Linked DNA regions of Daphnia pulex. The protein of the gene in region 2 interacts with the protein of the main gene of each other region in a biochemical or structural test. Links are inferred from orthologs where the notes say so. Each region holds a gene or a part of one and is shown on either strand. Other genes may lie near its edges.

Region 1 (9,987 bases), about 1.9 Mb from region 2:
CCGTGTAAGGATCCGTAAGGATCGCTCATGTATGAATAATACAGGTTCTAAACCTGAGTGGGCTCTTATGTAATTCCACCGAATTTGAAATTTGATCATAATTGTGAAATTCATTCCCGGATTATGAATAGGTTGTTATAGCTTGACAAGAGTGATGGTGACGAAAAGAAAGTCGCCCATTGATTTATTCGGATCTAATGACCTTCGTCGTTCGACAAAAAGTTTCTTGTTCTTTTTGTAGCATTACGCCCATTCTTCCCTAAGTTTTCATTAATTGGTAGGGGGGCAGGTGAGAAAACGAATATTTTTCATTCCACCACTTCTACCTGCGCCACCAATTTTCCTTTTTTCTTCTTACCCATCCCCATACTGAGTTAGACAATGCTGCAGCAACGTATTACAGCCAGTGATGTTTTTATTGCACGGTACTGAACAGTTGAAATGTCTTGACCTTCTTTTCATATTTAACAAAATTTCTAAACAGCAAAAGTGCATCCCATAGGAGTTGGACGTAACACGCCCCTCATGCATCATTCAAAAAAGTCAAGTATATTACCTTTGTAACGTTGAGGCTTATAGAGTAGACTGTTAGATATAATATAGTGACGTCAAGGAGGCAAAAAAAAAACGAACAAATAAAATGTTTACATTTTAAGCTCTCCAAACTGTCTGGAACAAACAATAGTTTACTTTAGCTATTAGCCTTTTTGACACCTTATTGACATAGCGTCATAGCATTCTCTTGTTTTCATGTGATAACTTAATCAATAACTTTGTATGTCTACAGCAGTCCCTCGTGAACTCAAACTCGCAAGGCTCTAGCGTTTATCCGTTTTTAATTCTCCGATGGCATTATACACATCGCCATATTTGTATTGTTTTTAGGTTATAGCTCACGTATTTTGAAAATGAAGTTCAAAGTATTACTTAACCAGTTTTAGCTTGTTTCACCTTTTGATATAACAATTTAAAAGATGTAAAAGATTAAGGCGATGACAATATCCAATTACTAAAGTATACAGAGACAAAGAAGAAGTTGGGTTGTACTTTTTACATCACCGCTGGATCCGACTGGATCAGCAATCACTCGAGTTATTGCATCAGGGAAAAAAGGATAAGAAAAATTGTATATGCCTACTATTTCTATACTGTGCTGTTGCCTAGCGACAGCAACGAGTTGTCAGGGTAGCTTTTTTAATCTTTTACAGCACATGACTGTTTTGATCCTAACTAGATGCTTTGATACTGTTAGGACTACTTAGGAAGGCGAATTACTCTTGTGTAAATACACGATTAGCTAATGCAGTCATTAAGAAGTTTGCTCGCAGTTTTCCTTGAATGTAAATACAATGTTTAGCATGAAGTGGCGCTGCTTTTCCATAACATACTCAGACTCCTGCTGCACATTTCTGATCTTTATAGTCAAGAAGCGCCCACGACTACTCGTTCTGTTTCATCTTTCACCTGCTTTAGTAAACATTTTGATTATCAAAGGATGTGGCGCATAGTCCATAACGACAACAAAGTGCGAGCCTATAAGTCTATAACCATGACAACACACGGAATATACTGTACCACTGTACCTTGTCATAATACGTGATTTAAAACGTAGCTACATTAGTAGTCTGTAAATAATCGTTAGCTGTTTGTTTGAGAAATTTCATCTGCAACGTTGCTTCTGCTTCGTTAATTAGAAGAGAATTTGTTGATTGTGGCAACTATCTTTCAAGTTAAATAAGCTTACAGGCTTACATCACGGCCAGTAGCTCTTCATTAAGTATACCGGCCGGCATATTATCTTGATGTAAATTAGCAGAAGTAAAACGTGAAATTGAGTTGCAAGATAAGCTCATAATTTTTTGGTGCTACTAGGATAATTATTTATTTGTGCTACTAGGATAATTAAAAGAAACTTTGTGCGGATTAGCATGGTCTATTTTGTTGTTGAAATAAGTTTTCAAATTTTCATTTTCTTTATTTTCACATTAGGCTAAAGTCGCTAAACAGCTAGCAGGTAGCAGCTGTAAAACGAATGCTGTCGTCTGCTGTAGGATTGTGTATTTTTGAATTTCGAAGAGCAATTTCGGCTTATCTACTTATATTTATTTTTAAAATGTGTTGGTACTTACTACTTATACTAGGAATTTGGACTTTCGTTTCCTTTTTCACTTACCGATATTTGAGTCAAAAGAAAAGTTTGTTTCTTAAAGAAGTTTTCTTTAAAAAGCTTAGCAATGTCTTGTTCGTCATTGCTCATCCGGACGACGAGTATGTTTTGTTAATTGAGATATACATTTTTATGGAATACCTTAATCTAACTTTTTTTCTCTTATGCACTTATGAATGCATGTATAATAGATGCATGTTTTTTGGACCTGCCATCACAGCACTAGTCCAACCATCATTAAGTGATTCTTCGTCCAGGAAAAAGAAAGCAAAGGATATTTACATTCTTTGCTTGAGTGATGGTAAATCAATACTACATATCACTATTACTATACGCTTACATGAACTATAGCTTTTTCTTTGGACTCATATACTTGTCTGTTCGTTACTTGTGCTTAAATTCAAACGTTATAACAATATTTCTAATGTGTGAAATTCACTATTTCAAGGCAATGCTGATGGCTTAGGTAAAACAAGGAGAGAGGAACTAAAAAAAAGTTGCAAGATTCTTGGACTAGCTGATTCCAATATTATAATTCACAGGTAAAAATTCATTCAAACATTCATAAATTGTTGAAATTTCTTAAATTTTCTTAAATTTCTACATTATCTGTGAACAGTGGACCTCCTTTCTTTGAAGATGATCCACATTCTTTGTGGGATTTCAAATCAGTTGCAGATACTTTGAATATCTACATTGAAAAATTGAAAATTGACAGTGTAAGTATTTCAGGAATAGATTAATAGGCTTAACTAACAATACAATTTAATGCAATTTTTTATAGCTCATAACTTTTGATGAGAATGGAATCAGTGGCCACCTAAATCATAAATCGATTTATCAGGGGGTGTTGCAATTAAAGAAAGAAAGCAAAAAAAGAGGTATTTAAACTATATTATAGTGTGCATAATTAAATGTATTGATATTTAAAAGATCGTCTTTAATTTTTCCAACAGTTACTGTCCGAGTTTTCATTTTGGAAACGGTCAGTTTGTTTCGAAAATATTTGGGATTTATTGATTCGATTTTAATCAAACCTAGTGCATTAATCTGTACTGCCGATTGGGTTAATAGGATGAACATTCAGGTATTTTTTTAAACAGTTAATAATGTCAATTAAGACTTTTGCTAAATAAATTAATTATGTGTTCACGTTTAGAGAGCAATGGCAGCTCATGCTAGTCAATATGTTTGGTTTCGCCGTTTGTACATCATTTTTTCAAGATACTTATTCTTTAACACATTCATTCCCCTTGAAATTTACTAGCTTAGCTACTGCTTGTTGTCTCAGATATGCACCTGGAAGTGCGGTGGTTGGAAAATTTAAATCCTATCGATTCGATGCATTTTGGACACGGGTAAATTTACTCAGATTTTTTTGATCCCTTCAATTTTATGGATGTTTATAATTCCCTTAACAAAATACCTAGTCTTTTCTCTGGAGTGTGTAACATAAACAAAAAAGGGTATGTTGGCTCTTGTTTTTTTTTCCCTAATGAATTCTCACACGTGGCTGCTGTGTTTAACTTTATTGCATTTACTAAACAAAATTTAAAATATTGATGTTATCAGATGTTAGTGGTTGAAGTCAACAGTGCACGTAATGTATTATTTTTATTTGAATGAAAATGCAGTGAACAATAATACAATTTTGAAATTCGTCATACTCCTACTATACATGTATTCAACTATTTTCTAAAGCATGACATTTACGCTGTAATTTTGTGACGACCAGACATGAAATGTTTCTTTTTATAAAACTGAAGAAAAAAAAACGATTTCCCGCCAGTAGTTTCATGTTGTCCCGCCAGGGTCCAGATGGCTGTGCACTGTGGCAATAGTCAATAGATGGAAAATCCCATCGTCTGCAATCAAGCCTGTTTTTGTTCATTTTCCGTTGTTTTGTATCAGCTGAAAGAACAGTATTTGTTAATTCTGTGTTGATTCTACAAATGGAATGAATCAAAATGAAGACGTTTTCTAAGTTTTATAAGTTTTTGCATTAGATTTGTTTGATTAAGTTTAGGTCTCGGTGTGCTAAAATGAATTTCCGCCGGAAGCACAAATCGTCAAAATGTTTTCCAGTAAAAATTCTTACCCTAGACGCACAACTTGAATTCAACCTAGAGGTTTGTATTATTTATTCACATAATCATGTTCATGTAAAAAACTGACAATTATAACTCTTGTAGTGCAAAGCAAATGGAAGAGATTTATTTGATCTAGTGTGTCGAACTATTGGATTAAGGGAGACCTGGTATTTTGGGTTACAGTATGAAGACTGCAAAGGATTTCTGGCGTGGTTGAAAATGGATAGAAAAGGTGAGTGTTAATGCTTATTATGTGTCATTCACCTAATAACTGTTTGTATGGCCATAATATCTATAGTTCAGGACCAAGATGTGCCCAAAACAACTCCTGTGCCTTTTGTATTTTTGGCTAAGTTTTATCCCGAGAATGTGGCTGAAGAGCTGGTTCAAGAAATAACTCAACATTTGTTTTTCTTGCAAGTAAAGCAGAGTATACTCAACATGGATATATACTGTCCTCCTGAAATATCAGTCTTGCTTGCTTCATATGCTTTGCAAGCCAAGGTAATATTATTATATCTTGGGTGATTTTCCACAATTAATTTTTCCTTCCCATTAGTATGGTGATTATGATGAGGCAGCCATGAAACCTGGTCTCCTTGGTACAGAAGACTTACTGCCTAAGAGAGTTCTTGATCAGTATCAAATGACAGCTGAAATGTGGGAAGAAAGAATAAAAATTTGGTAATAAGGATCATCATTTCCATTTTAACCGTTTTATAGACTTAAGACTTTACTTTATGTTATATAGGTACGCGGATCATAAAGGTCTCAGTCGTGATGAGGCTGAAATGGAGTACTTGAGAATCGTACAGGATTTAGAAATGTATGGCGTTAACTATTTTCCTATAAAAGTGAGTTTAGAAACCCTAGCTAAAACTAAAATGCGTGTATATCTTGCATATTGTTAACTTGTTTTAATCTACAACTTATTATTCTATTTGAACAGAATAAAAGGGATTCCGAGTTGTGGCTTGGTGTTACGGCCCTCGGTCTGAATATTTACGAGCAGGATAACAAATCCGTACCGCGCATTAACTTTCCCTGGTCAGAGATCCAAAACATCAGCTATGACGACAAAAAGTTTGCCATTAAACCAGTCGACAAAACTGCACCCCCTTTTATTTTCTATTCGGATAAGCATCGAGTCAACAAATTGGTAATCCATGATTTTTACATAAATGAAAAAGGATAGCGAATTTTATTTCCGCATTTTTATGTCTAGATCTTAGATTTGTGTATTGGAAATCATGATCTCTTTATGCGTCGGAGGAAACCGGATTCAATTGAAGTTCAGCAAATGAAGGCTCAGGCTAAAGAAGAGAAACTCAGGTAAATTTGACCTTGACAAGTTTTGTCTTATTCATTGTTGAGTTCTTATTGTGGTTACTTTACCGTTTTTCAGACGACAGAGTGAAAGAAATAAGCTTGCACGAGAGAAGCAACTACGCGAAACAGCTGAACGTGAAAAAGCAGCCCTAGAACAACAGTTAATTCACTTTCAGGAAGAATTCCGTGTAGCGAACGAACAGTTGGTATGATATTCTTCAGTTTAATTTTTAGTTTTAGTATCAAGTACAGTATTTCATTATACCAATTTTGTAGAGGCGTTCCGAAGAGTCGGCTGAGCTGCTGGCCGAAAAGGCGCGAGTTGCAGAAGAAGAGTCAATGTTGTTAACTCAAAAAGCCTCAGACGCTGAACAAGAGTTGCAAAGAATTCGTTTATCTGCCATGAAAGTAAGTGAATTTTTTCATAACTTATTTAGGTAGCTTTACATTTAATTGTCTTTTTGCGTCTAGACCGAAGAGGAAAAACTTTTGTCTCAGAGACAATTACATGAGGCGAAGCAAATTGCCTCAAGGTTATTAGAGAATTCTGAGCGTTGTGCAGCAGAAGCAGAGCAGCTAAAAGGTGACCTTTTGCAGGCCCGTTACGCTGAAACTCAAGCCAAAAAGAAGCTACTAGAGTTTTTAACAACACAAGCTAGTGTTGCAGCCTTACACTCGGCATCTCGTCCAATTACACGCATCCCGTCGTCCGCGTCTGTCCTGGTACTTTGCAGTTTCTGTCAACATTTTAATGAGCGAATAACTACAATTACCATTTTTCAGTCTGTTCCCAACTTGTTTCCGACATCAAGTTCGTCGGTAGCTGGATCAGACCACCATTTACATCATCAGTCGGACATTCAGCAACATTTACGACGACTCGACGATGTCTCTAACGAAGCAAGTTTGCCGGCTTATGAGGCCCGCCTTCCTATTCCGCTGGCTAATCAGCTTACTGGCCTCACCAACTTAACTGGCTTAAGTAGTAGTGGATATCTATCAGCTATTGCTGCTTCCGAACTGGTCAACTCTTCATCCAACTATGACCTTATGACACATGGCGATATGGAGCAACTCTCACTTGAAATTGAGAAAGAGAGGTTGTAAATCTATCGTAGGAATTGTTGCGTAATTGTTTGCTCATTTTTTAAAATAAATTTAGAGTCGAATACTTGGAAAAATCGAAGCAACTGCAGGAGCAACTGAGAGAATTGCGTACAGAGATTGAAGTCTTGAAAGTAGGTGAAAAACAAACGCTTTACGATCAGCTACACGAAGAGCAACTCCGTTCAGGGGACGACAAATACTCAACTCTCAAAAAGGTACGCATGAATGAGAGTCATTAATTCAAATTTGAGTTAATTTTTCTTTTTTTCCTAGTCAAAATCTGGATCGACTGGAGCGCGCGTGGCCTTTTTCGAAGAGCTGTAGCTTAAGTCATATTTTTAATTTTACTTTTGACAATGTGTTGTACATAAATTTTAAATTGGCTGACCATTTTCATGGATGCAACTTAGTTTATAATCTTTAATTCACTAAGTTGCCCATTTTCGTGAAATCTTATCATCATAGACATTAGACAAATAGACTTTCATTTAAAAAAAACTTAACTCTTGTTGACTAATGAGTAATGTCTTTTACTAGTAGCAGCATCGGCGTTGTTTACATTCTTATATGAATTTTGCAAAATGAACCTGTATGTCTAGAATACCAATTCAATATGAACATGGAAAAGTTTCATTCAAATTCAAACACAAAATGCAGAGAACCGAGAAAGATTAGATAATTCTTCATTTCAATCTGTGAAACGCAAAAGTTAACAAATTCATTTCGAAAAAATGTAAATATTTTTTGCGCGCAATGTTGCCAGTTCATCTATTAATTTTGATTTTTCTTTTACAGCATTCTTGCAACGTTGTCTTAACAACGAAAGCATTCGTTTTTTCGTCGGCTCGTCAATTTCCACATTCGTCGCCATCCCAATTGTTGTGCTGTCAATTTGTAAATGATTTAATAAGTGGCAAAATATCCTATATCATCATGGATGAATTAGAGAAACTCGAACACCTGTCGCTTGTTTCTAAGGTGTGCACAGAATTGGAAAACCATTTGGGACTCAACGATAAAGATCTGGCAGAGTTCATCATCGCATTGGCCGAAAAACACAAGACCTTTGATGAGTTCAAAAGTGTAATGCTGGAGAATGGCGCCGAGTTTTCAGACTCTCTCATTGCAAATTTGCTTCGTCTTATCAAACACATGAAATCAGCCAACTCGAAAACAACTGATGTGAACTTAGCCCAGGTAAAGAAAACAGTTTACAATGCAGAAACAGAGAAGAAACGGGAACTCTTCCCTGGTCTTGCCTTAGCAGATAACCCTAAGGCAAGAACAATGCTTCTCGAAGACATAAAATTGACTATTAAAGATGTTGAAGAAGCTAACGATTTAATGGCTGAACTAGAAGCCATGGCTCCTAAAGAAGAAAAGATTTCTACTGAAGCAATCGAGCCTGTTCAGGAAAGAGCAAGGAGTAAAGACAAGAAGGAAAGAAGCAGACGTTCAAGAAGCAAGGACCGCAGCAGAAGATCAAGAAGCAGAGACCGCAGCAAGAGATCCAGAAGCAGAGACCGAAGTAGAAGGTCAAGAAGCAGAGATCAAAAGAGGAGATCAAGAAGCAGGGACAGAAGTCACAGGTCCAGGAGTACAGATAGAGGAGATCGAAACAGAACAAGTGATCGTCATCATGATAAAAGAAGTAACGAAGGCAGACGAGAATCCCCAAGTCGAAAGAAACCTCAAAAAGATTTTCCAGAGAATCCAGAAGTGGGAAATGTCTACGCGGGAAAAATCATGAATCTTGCAGCTTTTGGTTGTTTTGTACAAATTGAAGGAATACGGAAAAAATGTGAGGGTCTAGTGCACATCTCCCAGTTGCGACGAGAAGGCCGTGTGAATAGTGTGGCTGAAGTTGTCAATCGTGGAGATAAGGTTCATGTCAAAGTTATGAGCATTGCTGGCCAAAAGATCTCTCTTTCTATGAAAGATGTGGACCAAGACACTGGCGAAGATTTGAACCCAGCTCCTTCGACGTCAAGCCGCCCTGGACTAACCAGCCAGGAAAGTGAAACAGCTTTAAGGAATCCAGATCGACCTCTCTCATTGCTAGATTTGAAGGCAAATGTAGAGGAGGATGAACTAACCAACCGCAAGCGTGTGCAACGGATTTCGTCTCCTGAACGCTGGGAACTGAAGCAAATGATGGCAGCAAATTGTATCGACAAAATGGACTTGCCCGAATTCGACGAAGAAACGGGTTTACTGCCAAAGCTGGCCGAAGACGAAGAAGATATCGAAATCGAGTTGGTGGAAGAAGAGGCACCCTTTCTTCGAGGTCACGGTCGAGTGCTTAATGAACTTAGTCCGGTTCGTATCGTCAAGAATCCCGACGGTTCTCTAGCTCAAGCCGCCATGATGCAAGGCGCTCTCAGCAAAGAACGCCGCGAACAGAAAATGTTGCTCAGAGAAGAACAAGAAGCAGCTGACGCACCGGCTCAAGGCGCCAACAAGACCTGGATTGATCCCATGCCGGATGCTGGGGCTGCACCGTCAACGTCGTTGGGTCGCGGAACGGGAGCCCCTGTATACGACATGCCCGAATGGAAAAAGCACATCACTGGTGGACCGAAAGGAGCCTCTTTCGGCAAGAAAACTAGTTTGTCCATCGTCGAGCAACGTCAATCACTTCCCATCTACAAACTCAGAGATGAACTGATCAAAGCTGTCAATGACAACCAAATCCTAATTGTCATCGGTGAGACGGGCTCGGGAAAAACTACGCAAATCACTCAATATCTATCCGAGTCCGGATTCACGGCTCGTGGAAAGATCGGCTGTACGCAGCCTCGTCGTGTGGCCGCCATGTCCGTTGCCAAGCGAGTTTCGGAAGAGTTTGGTTGTCGTCTAGGACAGGAAGTTGGATACACGATTCGTTTTGAAGATTGCACCAGTCCTGAAACTTTGATCAAGTACATGACGGATGGTATGTTGCTGCGTGAATGCTTGATTGATCCCGATCTGCAATCGTATTCCTGCATCATGTTGGACGAAGCCCACGAAAGAACTATTCACACAGACGTTCTTTTCGGTCTTCTCAAGCAAGCCGTCCAGAAGCGAGCCGAACTCAAACTCATCGTAACGTCGGCCACTTTGGATGCCGTGAAATTCTCGCAGTACTTTTTCGAGGCGCCCATCTTCACCATTCCGGGTCGAACTTTTCCCGTCGAGATATTGTATACTCGGGAACCTGAGACGGATTACTTGGATGCCTCGCTCATTACCGTCATGCAGATCCACCTTAACGAACCACCGGGCGACATTCTTCTTTTCTTGACTGGTCAG
Region 2 (10,002 bases):
CTAGATGCCACAGACTGAAAGTTAAAATACATAAATAATTAGTACACACATTTATCATTAAAAGATGAAGTATTGAATGCTTGCACTAAAGCTTCTAAAGTAAAGCAACATATATAGAGAAGTTTAAGCTTACTGAACGTTGTGCCTCCTTCAATTCAAACAGCTGCATGATCATGTGATTACTCAGGTTATAGACTGGTGTAGTTTCATCCAACTGGTTGGTATTACGCATCAATAAAAGTTCCTGTTGCCATTTAAACTGGTTTATTCTTTTTTCAGTATGTTGTACTGGAAAGTCCATGAAAAAGCTTGATCTATTATTTAAGCTCAGAGATGAATGGTGTAAAGTTGGCTGGTGTGGAAATTGCTGACTGTCAATAGATTTTTCTGGAAAATCCACAGGATTCCGACTAAATACATCCTCAGACAGGAGAACGCCGGATTTACTGTTTGATGTCGATTGATTGATGGGTAGCAAAGGAACACGATCGTAAACTATTCGTCCCTTCGGTGTCCTACTTAACGATGCGACAGTTTCTCTCAAAGGAGATTCAGCCATTCCATGTTCGTTATTGTCATTCATTTCTGAACAAGAGTCACACACAAATATCGACTTTAAAAATTGTAAAAAGCTTCGTATGCCCGTTCGCATTTGAAAAAATTACTCTGACAGGACCCTACAAGAATTCCTCCTATTTGAAATGAAAGTTGTCGTCTGCAAAAGAAGGCGGTGCACCGTTGCCTTATACAGCATGAAATAGTCGTTGAAATAGTGAGAAAAAATACTTATTTGGTTATTGATTTGCCTATTTTTATGAATATTGTAATATAATTAAAAAGAAAAAGAAAGCTGAACCTGGGTGAACGCAAACCCAAGTCGCCAACGAGCCAGCCTAGTTTTAAATGGTTTGGCAACAGAGCAGCACAGCGACAGATTCTTTTTTTTTTCAATAAACAAGCGAGCGAAACAAGTAATTTGTCAATTGTCATTCAAGCTTTAGCGTTTACACTTTACACGCTATTTCTTATTTTTTTTTAAACGGTAGAAGATAATGACGTTTCAACCTCCTGCAACTCGTCAAGGTATTTCAATTATAAAGCAAAATATTTTGACAGCAATAACCTAATGAGCTCTTTCGTCTACCAAGATCAAAGCCGTAAAGTCCTAGAAGAAGTTCAACTGCAAAAGAAAATATTGTTGAAACAAGGTATTTTTAAAAATTCATAATAAAAAACTAGTAGTAACCTTTTTTTTCTTTAAATTTAGGTGCAGCTGTCACTCTGAATCCTGCTCCAGTTTCAACTGCTATACCTGTAAGTAACTATATTAGTGCAAAGATTTTGTTTTCACATTTTGATTTTAAAATTGTGTTCACAGAGTACATCTGATTCACTGAACCCAGCAATACGCCATGCATTAACTCAAGCCCAAACTTCTTCGTTTGGATATTTTGTGGCACAAGATTCATCTTTTGGAAACTTTATCTTGCCAGTGATTCCCAGACTTGAACCATCAAAATAAATAGAATGGCAAAATTAATGAAAAGAAAAGAGTTGGAGCAGCATCTTCAAGAACTAGATGGATTTTCAAAGCCAAAAATCCTTCTTGAGCAATATGAAACAAGTATTATTTTAGTAACAAGTATTATTATTAATATTATTTACTTTACTTAGTTTTATATTTAAAGGAGCTCACATTGCTGCTTGCATGCTGCACACCATTGAAAGTGCCTATGGAGATCTGTATCAGAAAACTGTGCTTGATTTGGGGTGTGGGTGCAGTGTTTTAGGAATTGGATCAGTGTTATTGGGAGCCTCGTATGTTTTAGGAGTGGATATTGATGAAGAAGCATTGCAAATTTCAACATCTAACATAAGTCAATTCGAACTAAGTGAAATCAATTTACTTCAAGCAGATGTGAAGCTTTTACCTCAAATGTTGGAAGGGACCAAAAAATTTGACACAGTCATTATGAATCCCCCTTTTGGAACCAAGCATAACAAGGGATTAGATTCATTATTTTTAGAGATTGGACTTCAATGCCTCAACGAAAAAGGCGTATTGTATTCTCTACACAAGTCTTCGACACGAGACTATTTTCATCGAAAAGCCCCTGGCTGGAAAGTGGACGCCCGTGTTTTGGCCGAGCTCCGTTACGATTTACCAGCAACATATAAATTTCACAACAAATCATCAGTAGACATAGAAGTGGATTTTTGGAGGTTTGAAAAGAAAAATTAATTTGTATTTCAATCAATCGAGAGAAGAAAATAAAATAAAAGATTGGCAATCACATGCGATTTTTTATCTTCTTCAACATGTTGTTCTGTTCGAGGGCCGCTTTTCTCTTTCGCTATAAGAGGGAAAATATTTAGGTTTCAATTATTGTTTTGCTGAGTTGATTTTTTTTTAAAGCGTACCATAGGTGTAGCAGCAGAGCCAACAACGTCAATAACTTCAGACAAGGCCTTGGGCCGGGCTGATACGTCTTCTGCTGGGATTGCTGGATCATTATTGGAAAGCAATGAGGCTGGGATCTCTAGTGTTTTTCCAGGAGCTAAAGCTTCATATTGATGTCGTAAAGCTTGTAATTCGTATTCACAAGTTGAGAGACCTAGTTTCAGTTCGTACAAAAGGACTAAATCGCTCCGAAGCTCGTTAAAGTTCTGGCAAATCTCTTCGGTTGGCATTGGATTTAATTCTAAATCAATGCATAAAATATTAATATGCAAATTTTAATATGAAATGTGTGTCGTACCCAAGCCCAGTTCTGTTAGCATTTGTTCTATAGCTTTGGATTTTTTCTGGCCCACACTAGGCGGCAACTTCATCCGCTGTGAGCGTAAAAATACACCACTGGCTTTAAACTCCGGAAACTTAATTCCGCTATTAGGTGTCTCCACGGAGGGCTGCTCATTAAATTTCATGAAAAATTTCATCATTTAATGAGTTAAACAAAGAAAAACTATTATAAAAAAATAAATAAATAAATAAAGCTTGGTTACCAGGAGCTCAAGTTTTGCTTTAGGTGTAGCAAATGGGGTATTTTTCTTTCGAATTTGTTGTTTTTTGTCGGGAGGTGTGCCTCGATGGGTTGCAGGGGAATGGTCTGCCGCAGCAGCAGTAGCTGAACCTCCGCTGTCCGCAGCTGTTATCAATTTCTGGAGATCTTGTGTTTTTCGTTCTCGATCTTTCTTGCGGGCTTCGATTTTCCTCAATTCTTGGAGTAGATTAGCTTCTTCCTCGACTTGTTCTGACGTACGTTCGAATAGCCTCTTTAACTGCTCTTTACGACGTTTTTCATTGTCGGCATCGTAAGCAATATTCTTTGGCTCTGGTCCTGTTGTATGCCTTGCCTTAAAAAAAAATATACAGTTATTTTTTTACTAGGTAACACAGACACAAATATCCTTTACCTTGTTTAATATGTTGCAGATATCATAATATCTCTCCTTCAAGTCTTCGATTGACCTTTTTGAGAATCGTGTACTATCCCAGCGGTCCTGAATAACGGTGAAACGAAGATCAAATTGCCGACAGAGGTCAAACAAATGATCTGTTTCTTGCTTTGTCCAATTATCAAGTTGTAGTAATTGATATTCTTGATCAGTGTAAGAAAATATATGGACTTGCTAAAAAAAAATATTTTTATATAAAAGAAATTTTCAAATCAATTAAAAAAGATGGAAATCAACCTTGTTAAATTTAGCAAATGGATACTCTTTCCCTTCATCTGCAGCTCTACGCCAATGGTGAAATACAGCTCCATCTTTCCGTGCTGGGTTAGTAAAGGGCATCCACTTCCAAGGTCTCACTTTACGGACACCTAAATGAGCTTTTGCTTGCTTGTATCCTTTACCTGATTGGAAATATTTATGAAATCTTTGGCATACAAATATTTCTTTCCCTTACTGGAAGCACACAAATTGCAGACAGACAAAGTTGTTACCTGTGTCAGTTGGAAATAGAGGAGCTGCATCTTTACTATCATTGACCAAAAGATTGAAAAGTTCTCGTGCCATTCCCTCAGGTTTACGTAAAACTTCATTTTTAGGTTTGTATTTAGGTTTCGGTTTTTGCGTTCCCATAATACTTTCTTTCGTCACTTCTGGAGTTCCCGGTCTCCCTAGCTCCAAGATATCCAAAACATCAGCCATTTTTACTTTATTCCTCTTATGCCCGACGTTTTGATCCGACACGTGTCAACACTTACGACAAGAATGTGAGTAACTTTCAAAGTTCAAACCACAAAATATTTGAAGAAAATGTCACATAACAATCGTAAAAAAAAAACGTCCACAAAGATTCACAAAAAGGACGACAAAAGCAGACACAGTTTTTTAAGCACGCTAGGTAACCATAAGAAAAGCTATTGTTGTCAAGTTTATTGAAAAATCCAATTGTGAGAAATATCATTCAATTTGTAATATGAAAATTTGCTAGAAATTTTAAAAATATTTTAGCTATAATTTTATCATTTAAATCTGTATTCTGGAGGTCTAACTTCCTCAAACAAGCAAACAATGGAATTCGCAAGAATTTTCCAAAATATTAATCTGACAACGTTTTTTTCTCAAGTCTGCACATAGAAATTACACAGAACGTGGTGCACACTTCTGCAGCAATTTCAAAGAAACTTAATTTTAATAAGGGAAGTTGTAGTTTCAGATAGACGTAACAGTTCGAAGGTGAGTTTTTGTTGTTTATAATGCAATAGTTTTTTTTTAACTTATGGTGAAGATTTGTGACCCATTGAAGTTATTCTACTCGTGTTGTGAAATTGTGATTGGGTTCCAAAAACGTCCTTTTGTGTTTCATTTTGGCGTCGATAAGTTTCAGCTAATTTGTTCTTATTTACATTTAAGTCATCCAGTATGGCGAACGACACCGTAAATCTGACTGAAATGTCAGATGTCAGTGCTATTTTGAGGTTATTTGAGGAACATCATGTAGCACCAACATTTGATCCTGTTCCCTATCTTTCTAGGTATGTGTTATTTGTTTTTTTGCAAGATTTTTTTTTTCTTAATCATGTTAATTTTTGTTTTCAAGACTGGCTGAACTTTTGGAAACAGAAACAGAAAATTACCTAAAAATGGATCCAGATCCTTTTGATGATCGTAACCCTTCTAGGAATCCAAATTGCAGCTTTGGACACATGCTTAAAATAATATTCAAGAAGGAAATTTTTATGCAAAAAGTATTATTTTCATTTACTTGGCCTTGATCTTCATTCTAAATATAAATGCTATTTTTTCATTTTTCTTAATATTAGTTAGTTGGAGACTATTTACGTGACACTTACTGGACCAGATTAGGCATTTCTACCAGAGATTCAAGGGAACTCAATACAGCTGCAGCTCGTCTTGTTCTAGATTTAATGCCAGGCTTAGAAGTATCTGTGGTGTTTCAAGACACAGAAGGATTGATCAACAGACTTTTTAGTTGGGCAGAAAAAGGTCCAGAACCACTTCAAAGCTACGCTACTGGTTTGCTAGCTGCTGCGATGGAACTACAAGACTTGGCTGCTAACTTTCGTGAGTTAAACGCTCATCTAGCACCGTTAATGTTGAAAAGGTTATGGGAAATCCAAAAGAGATGTGCCGAAGAAAAGAAAAATGACGAACTCGGAAAAATCAAAAGATTTTCAAAATTTTCAAGCGACCAACCGAGTACCTCGAGCAAAACCCCAAAGAATACGGCGAGTAGTAAGAGTCGAGCATCTTCCAGTTCAAAGGTCCCAAAGGATGAAGATGCTGAATTAATGCCTGGACCAGAACCGGCCGATGGAGCCTCCGATAAAGGAAAATTGCCAAAGAATAACAAAGCAAAGAAATTTCAAGGCAGGATTAAAGGTTCCAAAGAGAGAAAAAGTGGAAATGCATCTCTGAATGGATCAGCTATGAATGATTCTAGCAACTCGTCTTGGGCCGAAATGGAATCATACGTCATCGGTAAAAGATTATTCTCCATGCAACAAGTGTGTCTGTAAAGTTAAAAAACTAACACTTCTTACTTTATTTATAGGAACGTATCAAATGCATCCATTGACGGACTCAACTCGGCAAATCTTAATCTTGCGATATTTAACACCCATGGGTGAATATCAAGAGTTACTAGTTCACATGTTCGAGCAAAAGGCGCTCGACCTTATTCTTAACTACATCGACTTTGACGAGACCCAAGATTCGCGTTTATCGTTCGAAGCACTTAAATATCTCGGAGCACTGCTTTGTCACAAAAAATTTGCCATCGAGTTTATTCATCATCAGGGATTGCATCGCTTACTTGAAATTCCACGGCCGAGCATTGCTGCAACTGGAGTTGCCATGTGTCTTTATTACATTGCGTATTGCGAAGATGCCATGGAGCGAGTCTGTCTCTTACCAGATCACGTCATTCAAGAGCTAGTCCGATATGCTCTTTGGCTACTGGAGTGTTCGCACGAATCTGGACGTTGTCACGCTACCATGTTCTTTGGGACATCGTTTCAGTTCCGCATTATTTTGGAACAGTTTGACGCCCAGGATGGTCTTCGCCGGTTGTACAATATGATCAGCACTTTGTCAATACTTTCAATGGAAGATGCAAGTGATTTGTTGGATGATGACGAATCTCATGCTGCACGCCAAACCGTTCGACACGTCTGTGCGGCGCTAAAACGATACTTTGAAATTCATCTGGCTGGGAAAGTTGAACATCTTCAACGGATCAGAGTTCGTGAAATGGGTGGTTCTCCCCATCCGTCAACACCTCCCTACAAAGCAATCAAGCTTAATGCAGATCAAATTATCGATCTAATCACCACTGCTCAAGAACTGCTTCCGTTTCGGGCAAGTTGGTCACCCGTCAATGAATTTGTTAGCCTCGGGGGTATCCCTCTGCTTCTACAAGTTATTGCAATATCCTACCTATGGAATTTTACCGGACGTGCCGAGACTGTTCGCAGCGCTTTGGTAAAGAAATTAAATATATTCTTAAAGTTAAATTATTAAATATATTTTATTTTATTTTGCAGGATGTTTTAGCCGTTTGTTCTGTTTCTTTCAGAGTTCAGATGCTATTTTGTGATCGTATTCAAATTCCGGATGACGCCAATGCTGTAGGCATTAATATTCTACTTGGAGCAGCTGAAGGAGACATTGTAGCTGACCCCGAAGTTCAGCGTGCCGCTCTTTGCGTACTCATTCACTGCGTTTGTGCTCCCGTCCATCGAGTTGGAGGTTCTGTCGGTAGATTTAATGGCAGTGCCAAAAGACGCAGCGTGGTAATTTCAATGATATTTTCTTATTGTAGAATTTATGTATTTACGCATTGTGCTTTGTATAGGCTAGTCGAACGAGCGAAGAGGTTCTCAACCAAGTTTGGGAGTGTGTACGATCCCACAATGGAATCATGGTGTTAATGGACCTTCTATCTGTTAAAACACCCATTACGGATGCTGACTCGATTCGCGCTTTAGCCTGTAAGGCCTTGTTAGGTCTTGCACGCAGCGAAAATGCTCGCCAAATCATGGGTAAACTACCCTTGTTCACCAGCGGTCAATTGCAGGTAAATCATAAAAAATAATTTCTTATTTTGTAAATTAATATCAACCCAAATTCTGTCTCAGGTTCTCATGAGAGAACCAGTGTTGCAAGATAAACGTCAAGAGCACGTCAAGTTCCAGAAATTTGGATTGGAATTGTTGGAACAAGTCTCCGGTCGAATCAAGTCCAATGTCAACGAATTTGAGTTATCCTTAGCCAAGATACACAAAGCAGATGTGGTATGAAAAATAATTATAATAAAGAAAAGTTTCCGTTTTTCAAGTATTTGAAATGTCGTGCTCCATCAGGTTGCACAGACGCGTATCCAGTTTAACGAAAAGCAGTTACTGCAGTTGATCCACCAGCATCTGTTAAGCAAGAACATGGTTGAATCTGCTTCAATATTAATGAAAGAAGCTGGACTCCCTCCACTTCCTCTAAAGCAAGCCAGCTCTAACTTCCCGCCTTATCGAGCTACCGGAAATACTCCCTCTACTCCAAGCAGGACCGGACGTGTTAACTCACAAGGAGCTGTAGCACTTCCTAGTACTCCAGTTGCAGTCCCCTCGACATCTACGCCGACGCAACAAATGGGAATAATTAAAGTGAATTTGTCTAGCAGGTGAAAAGAGCTATAAAAATGAAATATCTATTTTTTTTGTTTACTTATTTCACTTTTTTGCGTATAGTAGGCGTTTGAGACCAGGAATGCCTTCACCTGGCCCTCAACCGGGTGTTAATTCTCAGCACAGGGCTTTGCAAAAAGTCACTAACTGGGATTCGCCAACCACTATGAACAAATCACTCGGAGCTGCTAACGTCAGTACTGGTGAAACATCTCGTGGCGTGTCGTTAGACGCAATTGTCACTGAGTACTTGATGAATCAGCATGCTCTGTGTAAGACACCGATGGTGACTTGTCCACAGTTTGACCTTTTCCAACCCCACAAATGTCCAGATGCTAAATCAAAGAACACGGCTCCAGCAAACTTCGCATTAAGAGTTCAAAAGCGAGCCATCCATCCTCGGTTTGGTGGTCTCGATGGAGCCAGAATGGACCGCAAATTGGTTTACTCTCGCTTCCGACCTGTTAGAACGTTTCGCAATGACTCTGAAACGTTTACTTGCTGCGCTTTTTCACCGTGTGAGCAATTTCTTATGATCGGGAACCAAACGGGCGAGTTGAAGCTATACAATGTCAACACAGCTGTAGAAGAAGCAACATACCAATGCCATGAAAACTATCTTTTCAACATTGAACCAAACTGGACTGGTGACCTTTTACTAACGTCAGGAATGTACCGACCCCCTTATTCATGCCTGTGGGCTGTCGGTGACTTTTTCGACATGAAGTACTCCTTTGAGGAGGAAGAATACGTCGAATTTAGTAAGACAGTTCAAGATAAAATTGTTGGGACTAAAGGCGAAACTGCCACTGTATATGATGTGGCCACTGGTAAGAAATTGTTAAGCCTTACTCCCACAACGTCCAACAACTATTCAAAGAACCGTGCCACCTTTCATCCTAGCGATGAGTTGATTCTTTCTGACGGTGTTTTATGGGACGCCGTATCAGGTAACTATTCTATTTTATATGCGTATCGAGCTGTTGTTCAATCCTATTTTTCCATAATCTAGGGACACAAATTCACAAGTTTGATAAGCTTAATCAGTCGCTTAGTGGAACTTTTCATCCCAACGGATTGGAAATCATCTCAAGTTCAGAAGTTTGGGACATCAGAACATATCATTTACTACGAACCGTTCCAACCCTTGATCAGTGTCAAGTCACATTTTCAGCTTCCGGTGACGTCATTTACGCAGTTCATTTGGAAGAAGAGAGTAGAGAAGAACCGATGTACGATTCCTCTTTCAAGACACTAGACGCCGGCGATTACTCCTCTATTGCTACGATTGACGTCAAACGGTGTATCTATGGACTGTGTTCCAACAAATATGACACACAAATAGCCGTTGTGGAGAACTCGAGAGAGTTTAACACTCCAAGCGAATCGATCGTCCGGCTGTACGACGTGGGCAGGCTACGTGATGATGAAGACGTCGGATCAGAAGTGGAGGAAGAGGAAGGAGATGACGATGGAGGTGCATCTGAAAATTCGGACGACGATTTAGAAATGCTTGATGAACTGGTTAACGGCGGAGGTGATGAAGATGGTATCGACGTGGATATTGATTCTAGCGATTCATCGGACGACGGACAATTTGGTGATTCAGACGATGATGACGACGACGATGATGATGACTCCAATTCATATTTTGGTTCCTCAGATGAATTCGATGAGGAACTGTTTTCTTTGAACGCTGACAGTAACAGCAGTGGTAGTAGTTCAACGTGAGCAGAGCACAAGTCATTCTGGGTTGTAAGCTTCTAACTAATACATTGTCTATTGTTTTCAATCACAATTGTATTTTGGCTTCTTAAAAATTTGATTTCAGAAGGCTGAATCACAA
Region 3 (9,566 bases), on a different chromosome or scaffold from region 2:
CGCACGTTCCGTCTCTACCGCATGGCAAGAGGCAGTCGACAATGCAAGAGTTTGGAAAATTGTTCTTGATAAAGACGTAAAATTTTACTTGCTCCAAATCATATAGGTTTTCCTTCAATTCTAATTAAGGTTTCACTAGGTAAATTGGAAGAAAATGTACAAAGTCTTGATTAAGAAAGGTTTCGCAACCGAGACGACAGAGGATGACAACTATTCAGAATTTTACCTTGATCTCTATCGAAATATCCGGGATAATTTGAAGGTTTGGACATTGGATAACCCGTAAATAAGTATCAATTTTAACACCAATTTTTAATTCAATTAGTCTCTGGAGAAAAACTGGATAACAAAGACGGCCTATCAACGGGTAAAAAAATTGCCTTATGCAGGATTTGTAGAGCATCTAAATTTCAAAGTAAAACTGAGCGACCAGTACATCGTAACACGTCAAAGTCCCCAGACGATCGAGATCTTTAATAGATGGACTTTGCAGTCGGAAAGTGTAATAACTGAAACTTCATTTGTAAATTCCATACATTTAGAGCTGAATATTGATTGAATATTAGATTTTCGATATTGGAGTCGATAGTCACAGAGCTATGATGAAATCTATCGATTTGACTAGCGAATATCTTGCTCTTGGATGCAATCGTGGAAAAATCTTCGTATTTTGTATGAAAACAAAAGAATTGGTAAGAGGACTTTTAATTTTGATCATTTCCACAATAATAAGAACAGTGGTGAATGCGGAAGCTTCACAAACTTATAGACGATCCAGCCTTATTAAACTGTGAAAGCTTCGCTCAGGACGTCATGGCAAGCAGGGTGGATTGCAGTTACTTGCGGTTTAGTCCATCAGGAAAAACGCTGTTGTCGTGTATTACCAACGTAACTTAACATAATTCTAATTTACTGTTGTGAGTGAATCATTAATGTATTTCAATTTACACTTATAGAACAGTTGTCAGTACGAAACCCTCTCGTTGCGGAAGATAATATCGCCCCGAGAGTGGAAAATAACGCACCAACAGACTATTCACCAGTTTAATGTGCGCCGAGTTCAAATGGATGACTCCTATATTTACCTACAAGGTGGCAATAATAAAGGGATTCAAGTTCGATCAGCAAGTTCGCTTGAACTGATTAATACCATCGCCGAATCCGAAGCTTTTATTAAAAGTTTTCAACCCTACGATCGGTGGATTATTATTGCTGGCCGTGAACAAATCAGGTAAGATTCGCGCAAAAGCGTAATTGCTACCTGTTATTCATACGCTACTCTCTTACTCTCTTTTCCTTTAGTTTATGGGACATCGAACTTGGAACATGCATTCGACAATGCCAAATGAATCAAACCGATGGAGATATCAAAACCATTGGGTAATGTTTTGTTGTTTCTTTCTAACGAATCAACACTAAAATTATCATTTTTTTTTTACAGGCTGGTAGGCGAAAAATACATAATTAGTTGCCACGTGAATTGTTGGTCTTCCGACTTTTTCCTGTTAGGGGTGAACGTTTGGGATCTTGAGTCGTTAATCAATTCTCAAAAAGAAACATTGAAGCCAACTTTTACGTTTAGCGTATCGACTCAATCTTGGCACGAAGCAAGCGTTGATGGTATTCGGGACACGTCGGTGGAAAAGCTAAAAGTTTTTGTCGATGATTATCAGATTGGATGCCTTGTTACATGGGATTTTGACTATGAGAGGCGTGAAGTGCCAGTACCAATGTTGTATTTCATGGACTTTACTAATCATTTTGAAACCTAAGCTTCAAATCGAATATTTTGCTATTCTATTTTTAAAATGTATTATCTTTAAATTTTGTTTAAATGTTTTGTTTCAAATTCAATTAAAAAAATTAAAAAAAGAAAATTATTCATTCATTCATTTCAACCCAATTGAAGGAGACTCCTCTAGATGGCACCACGGCTGCTTCGATAATCGATTATCTTTATCGATTCAAAGTTGTATATTTTCGCATTTTTGTGCGTCGAATTTTTATTTAGTGAAACCAAATGTTAATGAACGATTTGAATCTGTGAAACTCGCTATTTTAGTCCTATACTGGTAGGTGATTCTTTTGTGCAAATCGTGACTGAGAGTGTAAGAATAGAATTGTTGATGACTTTTAGTCACAATCCATATGCTGGTTAGCAGTCGATAACAACGGTTCTTTATTGTTTGAAAAAAGTTGTTTGAACGCGACTAATTGATTTTTTAAAATGTATTTTAGAGATGGCTGAATGTCCGGAGATGAACGGGATTGCAAATAACATCGTTTCAGAAAAGTGGGTTGGCAGCAGAAAGTCTGAATGGATACGTTTGAATGTGGGGGGTCACCACTTCCTTACCACCCGAACAACCCTTTGCAGAGATCCAAAGTCTTTTTTCTTCAGACTCTGTCAAGAAGACAACAATCTTGCCTCAGATAAAGTATTACTTTATATAACCTCAATTTTAACTTGAAAATTATGCTCTTTATTTTAAACTAGGATGAAACAGGTGCCTTCATGATTGATCGGGACCCTACTTATTTTTCACCAATATTAAACTTCTTGAGACATAGCAAACTAGTTATTGATAAAAACTTGGCTGAAGAAGGAATCCTAGAGGAAGCTGAATTCTATAATATTACTGAACTCATCCAGTTAATTAGAGATAAAATAAGACTAAGAGATGAGGTACCACAGAAGGAAAGTAGGAAGCAAGTTTACCGTGTATTACAGTGTCATGAGGATGAATTAACTCAAATGGTTTCAACTATGTCTGATGGATGGAAATTTGAGCAGGTGTGTACACACAAGACAATCTTATTAGTTACTACAGACTATTTATTCTAATCTTTTTTTTATATAGCTAATAAATGTTGGGTCACAGTACTCTTATGGGAATGAAGACCATTCAGAATTCCTGTGTGTTGTATCAAGAGAGTGTGACAAGAGAGAAAGAGAAACAGAGCCTACTGATAGAGCCAAAGTAAGTATCTGCAATTTACTATTGATGGAAGCATTTAAAAATGTTGTTTCTTTATTTAGGTGCTTCAGCAGAAAGGGTTAAGAATGTAATAAGCTATGGGATTTTTGTACCAGGAACCAAATACTGAACTAAATTTATGCAGAGAACCAGCCTTGTGGGATTTTATCCACGTTGCAGCCATTTTGACACTTCTTGTTCACAAGTGTTGCTTTTTATTCACAAGTGCAATACAACTCTGCTTCACAGCTTCATTAAATTTTAGGAGATCCAAATTTGTATTATAAAAAAATGTTCATGATGCTGCTACTTGACGAAGAGGAGAATCAAGATAGTCTGCCAATGCCTTTGCTTTAGCATGAAGCATTCCAAAACACACATTTTCTTTAGCATAGAGACATAGAAGTAAATTAGCAACTTGGGCAATCACCACTTTCCCATCCTTTAAAGGCATTGGCAAAATTAATATTTGTGTTTACTAAACTTTAAATTGAATAATACCATGCAATCAAGAAGAACACATTCCAGGACATCTTCATTGAAGGCAACTTTCCCATTTTTAGCATATGCTGACCAAATGTTGCTAGCTATCGCTGCTGTCACTCGTGCATCCTTGTCCCCATAACCACTTGAAAGCCACAAAATTGTTTAAACACTATAAACAAATGTAAAACATTTTAACACATTTTGCTCACCTGTAAGCTAGCAACGCCCCCTCCGTATTTAAAAGCCTGCATAACAAATTAAGATAATAAATAAATAAAAATAACTAACAATCGTTAACTATTTTAAGGTATCACGCCATATTACAAAGTGCTTAAGATTCCGCCAGTGTTTGCTTGAGACAAGACTTGAGTAAGAGCTTTTGGTTTTAACATTCTTTAGATTTGTTGGTATCTTCTGTTTTGACACAAGCTGAGTCAGGGCTGAGTACAGCTGTTCAGTGTTCACTACTCCTCTTAGTCTCTTACTAAAAAAAAAAAAAACAAATGAATGCGGATGTTTCCTACATAACCAGGCCAGGCTGACAATCTCTTCTTCAGGCAGCGGCAGCGGCAGCGCCCCTTCCGTTGACCAGGGAATTTTTTCTCACTCAATCTTGTCAAATTCTTCTGCTGTAGGTGGCCTTAATGTATTCATTTCAGATTGGTCCAAAGGTGAATTTCGCGCCCGATTATTTTGACTTTGGTGTTTAATTACAATCATGATTACAATGAACTAAAGTTGCTTCTTGAAGTCAGAAATCATGCCGCCTCAAAAACCTTTGACTCATTTTTTTAAACCTCTTCAAAGTGGAGGTGTGAAGCGTACATTCTCAGAACTTGTGTCTGGCAATAAGACAGCTGAAGCCAAGAATGTTCAAATTGAAAACAAAGTAGGTTTTTTTGTTCTGTGTATACATGCCTGGTATTTTTTGTAAAGTCTATTCATTTTTAGCCTGTTGGAGAAAAATCTGGTGAGAAGACTGAAGTAGTTACTCCTGAAAAAAAAGAAAGAATGGGCACTAACCACTTGTTAGCGAAAATAAAATTGCAAGCGAAGAATACTTGTGCCTTACACCATAGTATTGGTCATTCATGGTTTCAAGCAATTGAGCCAGAGTTTAAGAAACCCTACTTTGGTGAAGTATGTACATGTTTCTTTTTTTTTAACTTTGAATAACAATTATTTTCATTTACCTACATTATTTTGTTTTTAGCTTAGTAAATTTCTGGGTTCTGAAAGATCAAAGTCCACCATTTTCCCTCCAGAACATCTTGTGTGGTCTTGGACCCATTTCTGTGATATTCAAAATATCAAAGTTGTTATTATTGGTCAAGATCCATATCACGGTCCTGGTCAAGCTCATGGTATAGTAAAAAATAATTACTTTTATGGCTTTTAAGATAAAGAATTGACATTACATTTTTGTTTCATAAAAAGGTTTGTGTTTCAGTGTTTTGAAAGGAGTTCCTCCTCCCCCAAGGTAATATTTAAAATTTTTACTTTAAAAACTACTGTGTCTAATTTTTGCAAAACTATTTGAAGTTTGGTAAACATCTTTAAAGAGCTGGCTTCAGATATTGATGGTTTTAATATTCCTAAACATGGTAATCTCACTGGATGGGCCAAACAAGGTAGACATTTAAACAAAATCAATCACAGTTTAACGTTTGTCTTAATCTTCAAATAAGAGTCACGTAAAATTGTTATATTGATATTTCACATATTTAGGTGTGCTCCTTCTTAACGCTGGCTTAACGGTCCGATCGGGCGCAGCAAATTCGCACAAAGACAAAGGCTGGGAAACTCTGACGGATGCCGTGATCCAGTGGATTAGCAGTAACTGCCAAGGTGTTGTCTTCCTTCTTTGGGGTGCATATGCCCAGAAGAAAGCTTTAGTAGTAGACAAGGTAACCAATTCATTTGTTTACGACTTCATGCTTAATTAATGTTTTTTTTTCTTTTCTTTTTTTGTAGAAAAAACACCACTTGCTGAATGCCCCTCATCCTTCTCCACTATCTGCTCATCGCGGATTCTTAGGATGTAAACATTTTTCAAAATGTAATGAACTTTTGCTCAAGCAAAACAAAACACCAGTTGACTGGTCTAAACTCCCCATTGAGTGAACAGTCAAACCTCAGGTTATAACAGTTTTTACATTCACTCTTGCCTCAAATGTTTTCAACCATGATATTCATGTTTCAAAACGCGATTCACAATGCATCTTAAACCAAGAGCAATACTAATTTTACATTTAAAAAAAAAACAATTTGTTAATTGCTGATGGATCTTCAGTAATTTTCTATTGCCAACAACAATTATGGATATGCTGATACTAGAAAGTTTTGCTGGCATTTTTTAGTCGCAGCGCAATGCATTTATGTATTTAAGAAAAACTTGTATTCTTTGAAGAATGAACCTTGAAAATAAGAATTAGGAAACCAAATGTTGAGAGACGGTTCTACCGCTGTAGAAATACGAACTATTAAAACACATTAGGAGCCATCGCAAAAATCGAAGGACATTGGGAACGAGCAAGTTTGGTGTATACTTGTTCGGAAGTTTTTGAAACTGCTTGGCCAGCGCTCTTTTGGTTCCATACGTGAATTCCAATTGTGTCATTATCCCACGTAATATCTTGTTCCAAAAAATATCTCAACCATTTAGGCCATTCGATTGGATAAAATGTTTTTGGAGGAAGAATCTCAAAACCGTAGCAGCTATCAGAATTCATTTCGGCAATGTTTTCTGTCAAACACCATTTTGTCATTACGCGAGTCAGGAGCAATGGGCCATTGTGACCCCAAATATCCTTTCTGAAGTAAAGAAAACAGTTAAGTCATCTAGTTTGGGAAATTTTCGTGTACACACCTGTATGTTTCTCGGAACTCCTCCACTGCCATGCGGATAACAGGATGTAGGTAATCAACGTGAAGTGCTCCAGCAGCCAAATTTTTCTCGTTTTCCGCCACGATGAAGTTTCGGTAATGTGTCACTGGTTGAACCATTATTATATCCAAATCAAAGTAATAACCTCCGTAATTGTACAGTGTTAGGAACCGGAGTGCGTCGCTCAGATGAGACACGGCAAATGAACCGTAATTCCAAGTAGAGCAGAAATACCATTGTCGAAAAGGCGAATGTATGAAGTAATCACCTAAATTAATATTATAGATTTTTATGTTTTCGTAATTTCCCAACGTTTTCATAGTTGTAGAATTCCAATCAATATCTTTCCCGCTCATTAGCAAAATGACGGTCAAGTGTGGGTTCATTATTGCGAGAGATTCAACAGAACAGGCTTGGCGGAAGTCAAGTGCCCGAACACCTGAGGTTTCATGAAAAAATGCCTTCTCTTGATCACGTCGAGGAAGTGGAAATTGAGGTTCGAACAAGGGACATTTCCATAAGCAATCCGGTCTGCCGCAAATATCAAAGGAGTTATGGATGCTTACGCAACATCTACCACGATCAGCTCCCGAGACATATATCACCGGATGGTTCATCTAAAAACGAAATGTTTTTACTGTTCCCAATTTTTTAAAGGTGATTTTAAACTTTTTGGTAAGCCGACACTAACCGATCTGACGTAAAAATCTGATTGCATTACAAAATATCCTGTGCAGATGAATATCCCCACTACCGTAAAAGTAAGTAGGAGACGCCGTAAGAACCCCATCCTCATTATTTTACGGAAGATGCATCGAAGTAATGGTTTAAGCATAATTCTGGCCATATCTAACGGCTAAACGTTATCCGAGTAGCAGTTTGTACAGAATCGTAATTTTTTGGTGTAGGAAATTGAATCGCTCTTCTGCGTGATGTTTCATGCCGGAATTTATCTAAGCCTAAAAGTAATATTTAAATGACTTGATTTGCAATATTAAATAACTAACACATTTTTACTCTTTAGTGTTGTTACAAGATGTTACCAGTAGAAGATCCATAATAATTCTTGAATATTTCTACACTTGTTAAGGTGTGACCATCATACAGAACGGTCAAGCTCGACACAGCAAACGAAATGGAAATGACATTTGCTTTTGTTAACGTTGAAAGTTCGTAGCTAGATAATAAGGTAAGGCTTGAGATAACGATAAGATGTGTATGCGGTGTAAATAAACGAGGTCGTAAATATCCAAAGAATTTAAAGGGCTATAGGCCTATAGCTCTGTTCAGAGATGCGTCGTGGAACCACATTAAAATGTCCTGCGCTTTTAATTGTGTGATGTTGAAATTTAACGTTTTTACTCCATCTAGATTTTTGAAATTCCATGTCTTATCAAAATTGTGATTGGCGGAATGGCGGCGAAACCAGAGGACAAAACAATTGACAATCTACGCCCGCAAAAACGTGGCTAGAAGTAGGTTCTTGACTGATCCGTAGTACTTAGTCGGTCCTTCTTCACTAAATAGAGGTAGAGAAAAACCACGTTGTGTGTGGTTGCTCTTCCGTCAAAATGCGTATCGAAAAATGTTACTTTTGTTCGTCAAATATATGGCCTGGCCATGGAATGGTTTTTGTTCGAAATGACTGCAAGGTGAGAAGGTTTAAATAAATTACACCGTGAAACTTTCTAACTCATGTTTGCGTTCTAGATTTTCAGATTCTGCAGGTCAAAATGCAAGAATGCATTCAAGAAGAAGAAGAATCCTCGTAAGACCAAATGGACTAAGGCTTTCCGTAAATCTGCAGGCAAAGATCTGGCCATCGACCCGTCTTTCGAATTTGAGAAGAGGAGAAATGTTCCTGTAAAGTATGATCGGGACTTGTGGCAGAAATCTGTGGAAGCCATGAAGAAGGTTGAGATCATTCGCTGCAGACGTCAAGCATTGCACATCAACAACAGACACAGTAAATCAAAGGAAGTCCAGAGAAGAAGCGATAATTATGAAGTCACCAAGAACATGGGTCTAATCCGGTCCCCAGCAGCTGGATTGAAGCAGTTAGCAACACAGTTGGATGGAGAAAAAGATATGTCATTGGTATCCTCCAAATTCAAGAAGATGGAATCGCGAGTTGTTGAAGAAGTTCATGATTCAGATAGAGAAATGGATGTAGAATAAAAAAATGCAATGACGAAAAACAAAATACATTTTTCCCGATTCGACGTTAACATACAGTATTGTCATTTAACACTAGGTGGCGATTTAAATCGACGGTTTATTGGTTGATTTCAGTTTCTGTTTATGTTTGTTTGAATTGAGTTGTTTGTTCTCAGAGGTCAGATGTGCTTGGTTGAAATAGTTTTAAGACAGTGCATTGTCATTCGAACAAACAGGTGGATAGTTCGAATCTGGTTGATGAAACTCTTAAAGTAACAACGTAAAATGGCAAGTGAAATTGTCGTATTAACAGACTCAGATGATGATGTTCACTTCTGTGGAATTTCTCCGGGTAAGAGGAATGTTTTACACGAAGCCCTAAATTCTGATGACGAGTAAGTACATAAGTTATTGAGGTTAGTTCTTCCAAATTAACTGTAATGTTGCTACAACATTTCCAGGTTGATGAATCTAGATTTGGATTCCCCACCACGTAACAATGAAAATAAAGATGAAGACTTTGATTTTGAGTGAGTAACCTTTTTCCTGTTGTAAGTAGTAATGTAAGCAAGAGTAACTTTCATTTCAATCAAATTCAGAATTCTGGAAACTGAAGTAAGAACAAGTTTAGCAGAAAGATTAGGTTATGAGACTTACACAACAAGGCTTGTTTCTTCTGAAACCCAAAATGCCAATATACCAAAAGTTAATTGTCCCATAACTGAATCTGTAAGCAATTATAATCAGCCTGCAAAAAAAACAACTAAAACAAAGGAGGACAAGGCCTTTGACAAAGCATATGATAAAGCTTGTAAAGCAGCAGAAGCAGCAAATAAAAAGTTCAATAGATCATCAGAATGCCTTAAAGTTTGTAGACACATTTTACAGTATGTGATTAGATTGTGTATTGATATTTTTTATGTTTTCATTATAGAGTCTTACAGCACTTATTGATTCACGCCTACTGGATTCAATCTCCAACAGTGGCAGCATTTTAACTCAACTCCAAGAATCTGAAATGAAGCACTCTATTGTTGTGTCTTCAGTGTCTAATTCAG

Evidence for each region.
Region 1: the proteins of DDB1- and CUL4-associated factor 1-like (region 2) and merlin-like form a complex in vitro, tested with the Homo sapiens proteins (3 studies listed by BioGRID, with this or other methods). The link is inferred for Daphnia pulex from reciprocal best matches to the Homo sapiens genes DCAF1 and NF2.
Region 3: of the proteins of DDB1- and CUL4-associated factor 1-like (region 2) and uracil-DNA glycosylase-like, one has a biochemical effect on the other in vitro, tested with the Homo sapiens proteins (2 studies listed by BioGRID, with this or other methods). The link is inferred for Daphnia pulex from reciprocal best matches to the Homo sapiens genes DCAF1 and UNG.

The regions. Positions count from the first base shown.
Region 1 is NC_060022.1:2,536,574-2,546,560, reverse strand, and holds merlin-like, read left to right. Parts: upstream 1-3,989; 5' UTR 3,990-4,209; coding exon 4,210-4,296; intron 4,297-4,359; coding exon 4,360-4,489; intron 4,490-4,555; coding exon 4,556-4,761; intron 4,762-4,816; coding exon 4,817-4,941; intron 4,942-5,008; coding exon 5,009-5,111; intron 5,112-5,206; coding exon 5,207-5,416; intron 5,417-5,482; coding exon 5,483-5,589; intron 5,590-5,662; coding exon 5,663-5,792; intron 5,793-5,862; coding exon 5,863-5,994; intron 5,995-6,057; coding exon 6,058-6,309; intron 6,310-6,369; coding exon 6,370-6,686; intron 6,687-6,748; coding exon 6,749-6,908; intron 6,909-6,966; coding exon 6,967-7,017; 3' UTR 7,018-7,327; downstream 7,328-9,987. Other genes in the region: N-acetylglucosaminyl-phosphatidylinositol de-N-acetylase-like, read left to right, coding at 2,033-2,268, 2,359-2,468, 2,616-2,709, 2,787-2,886, 2,952-3,048, 3,124-3,254, 3,327-3,434; ATP-dependent RNA helicase DHX8-like, read left to right, coding at 7,627-9,987. UniProt on the Homo sapiens protein: Probable regulator of the Hippo/SWH (Sav/Wts/Hpo) signaling pathway, a signaling pathway that plays a pivotal role in tumor suppression by restricting proliferation and promoting apoptosis.
Region 2 is NC_060022.1:4,443,986-4,453,987, forward strand, and holds DDB1- and CUL4-associated factor 1-like, read left to right. Parts: upstream 1-4,560; 5' UTR 4,561-4,689; intron 4,690-4,866; 5' UTR 4,867-4,875; coding exon 4,876-4,988; intron 4,989-5,053; coding exon 5,054-5,201; intron 5,202-5,276; coding exon 5,277-5,955; intron 5,956-6,028; coding exon 6,029-6,957; intron 6,958-7,019; coding exon 7,020-7,268; intron 7,269-7,330; coding exon 7,331-7,552; intron 7,553-7,613; coding exon 7,614-7,769; intron 7,770-7,838; coding exon 7,839-8,152; intron 8,153-8,219; coding exon 8,220-9,106; intron 9,107-9,168; coding exon 9,169-9,887; 3' UTR 9,888-9,948; downstream 9,949-10,002. Other genes in the region: mRNA export factor GLE1-like, read right to left, coding at 1-14, 134-613, 677-677, 2,296-2,354, 2,422-2,702, 2,760-2,910, 3,007-3,357, 3,418-3,633 and 2 more; rRNA N6-adenosine-methyltransferase METTL5-like, read left to right, coding at 1,528-1,624, 1,689-2,242. UniProt on the Homo sapiens protein: Acts both as a substrate recognition component of E3 ubiquitin-protein ligase complexes and as an atypical serine/threonine-protein kinase, playing key roles in various processes such as cell cycle, telomerase regulation and histone modification.
Region 3 is NC_060023.1:11,046,192-11,055,757, reverse strand, and holds uracil-DNA glycosylase-like, read left to right. Parts: upstream 1-4,051; 5' UTR 4,052-4,224; coding exon 4,225-4,353; intron 4,354-4,415; coding exon 4,416-4,604; intron 4,605-4,677; coding exon 4,678-4,828; intron 4,829-4,901; coding exon 4,902-4,944; intron 4,945-5,006; coding exon 5,007-5,095; intron 5,096-5,192; coding exon 5,193-5,371; intron 5,372-5,438; coding exon 5,439-5,588; 3' UTR 5,589-5,908; downstream 5,909-9,566. Other genes in the region: beta-TrCP-like, read left to right, coding at 155-262, 326-502, 567-692, 754-888, 957-1,231, 1,303-1,380, 1,442-1,772; BTB/POZ domain-containing protein KCTD5-like, read left to right, coding at 2,241-2,438, 2,498-2,794, 2,862-2,981, 3,041-3,070; ragulator complex protein LAMTOR2-like, read right to left, coding at 3,274-3,420, 3,480-3,606, 3,674-3,709, 3,789-3,856; lactosylceramide 4-alpha-galactosyltransferase-like, read right to left, coding at 5,948-6,278, 6,334-6,968, 7,043-7,198; probable ribosome biogenesis protein RLP24, read left to right, coding at 7,923-8,003, 8,062-8,529; crossover junction endonuclease EME1-like, read left to right, coding at 8,794-8,903, 8,970-9,038, 9,108-9,375, 9,443-9,566. UniProt on the Homo sapiens protein: Uracil-DNA glycosylase that hydrolyzes the N-glycosidic bond between uracil and deoxyribose in single- and double-stranded DNA (ssDNA and dsDNA) to release a free uracil residue and form an abasic (apurinic/apyrimidinic; AP) site.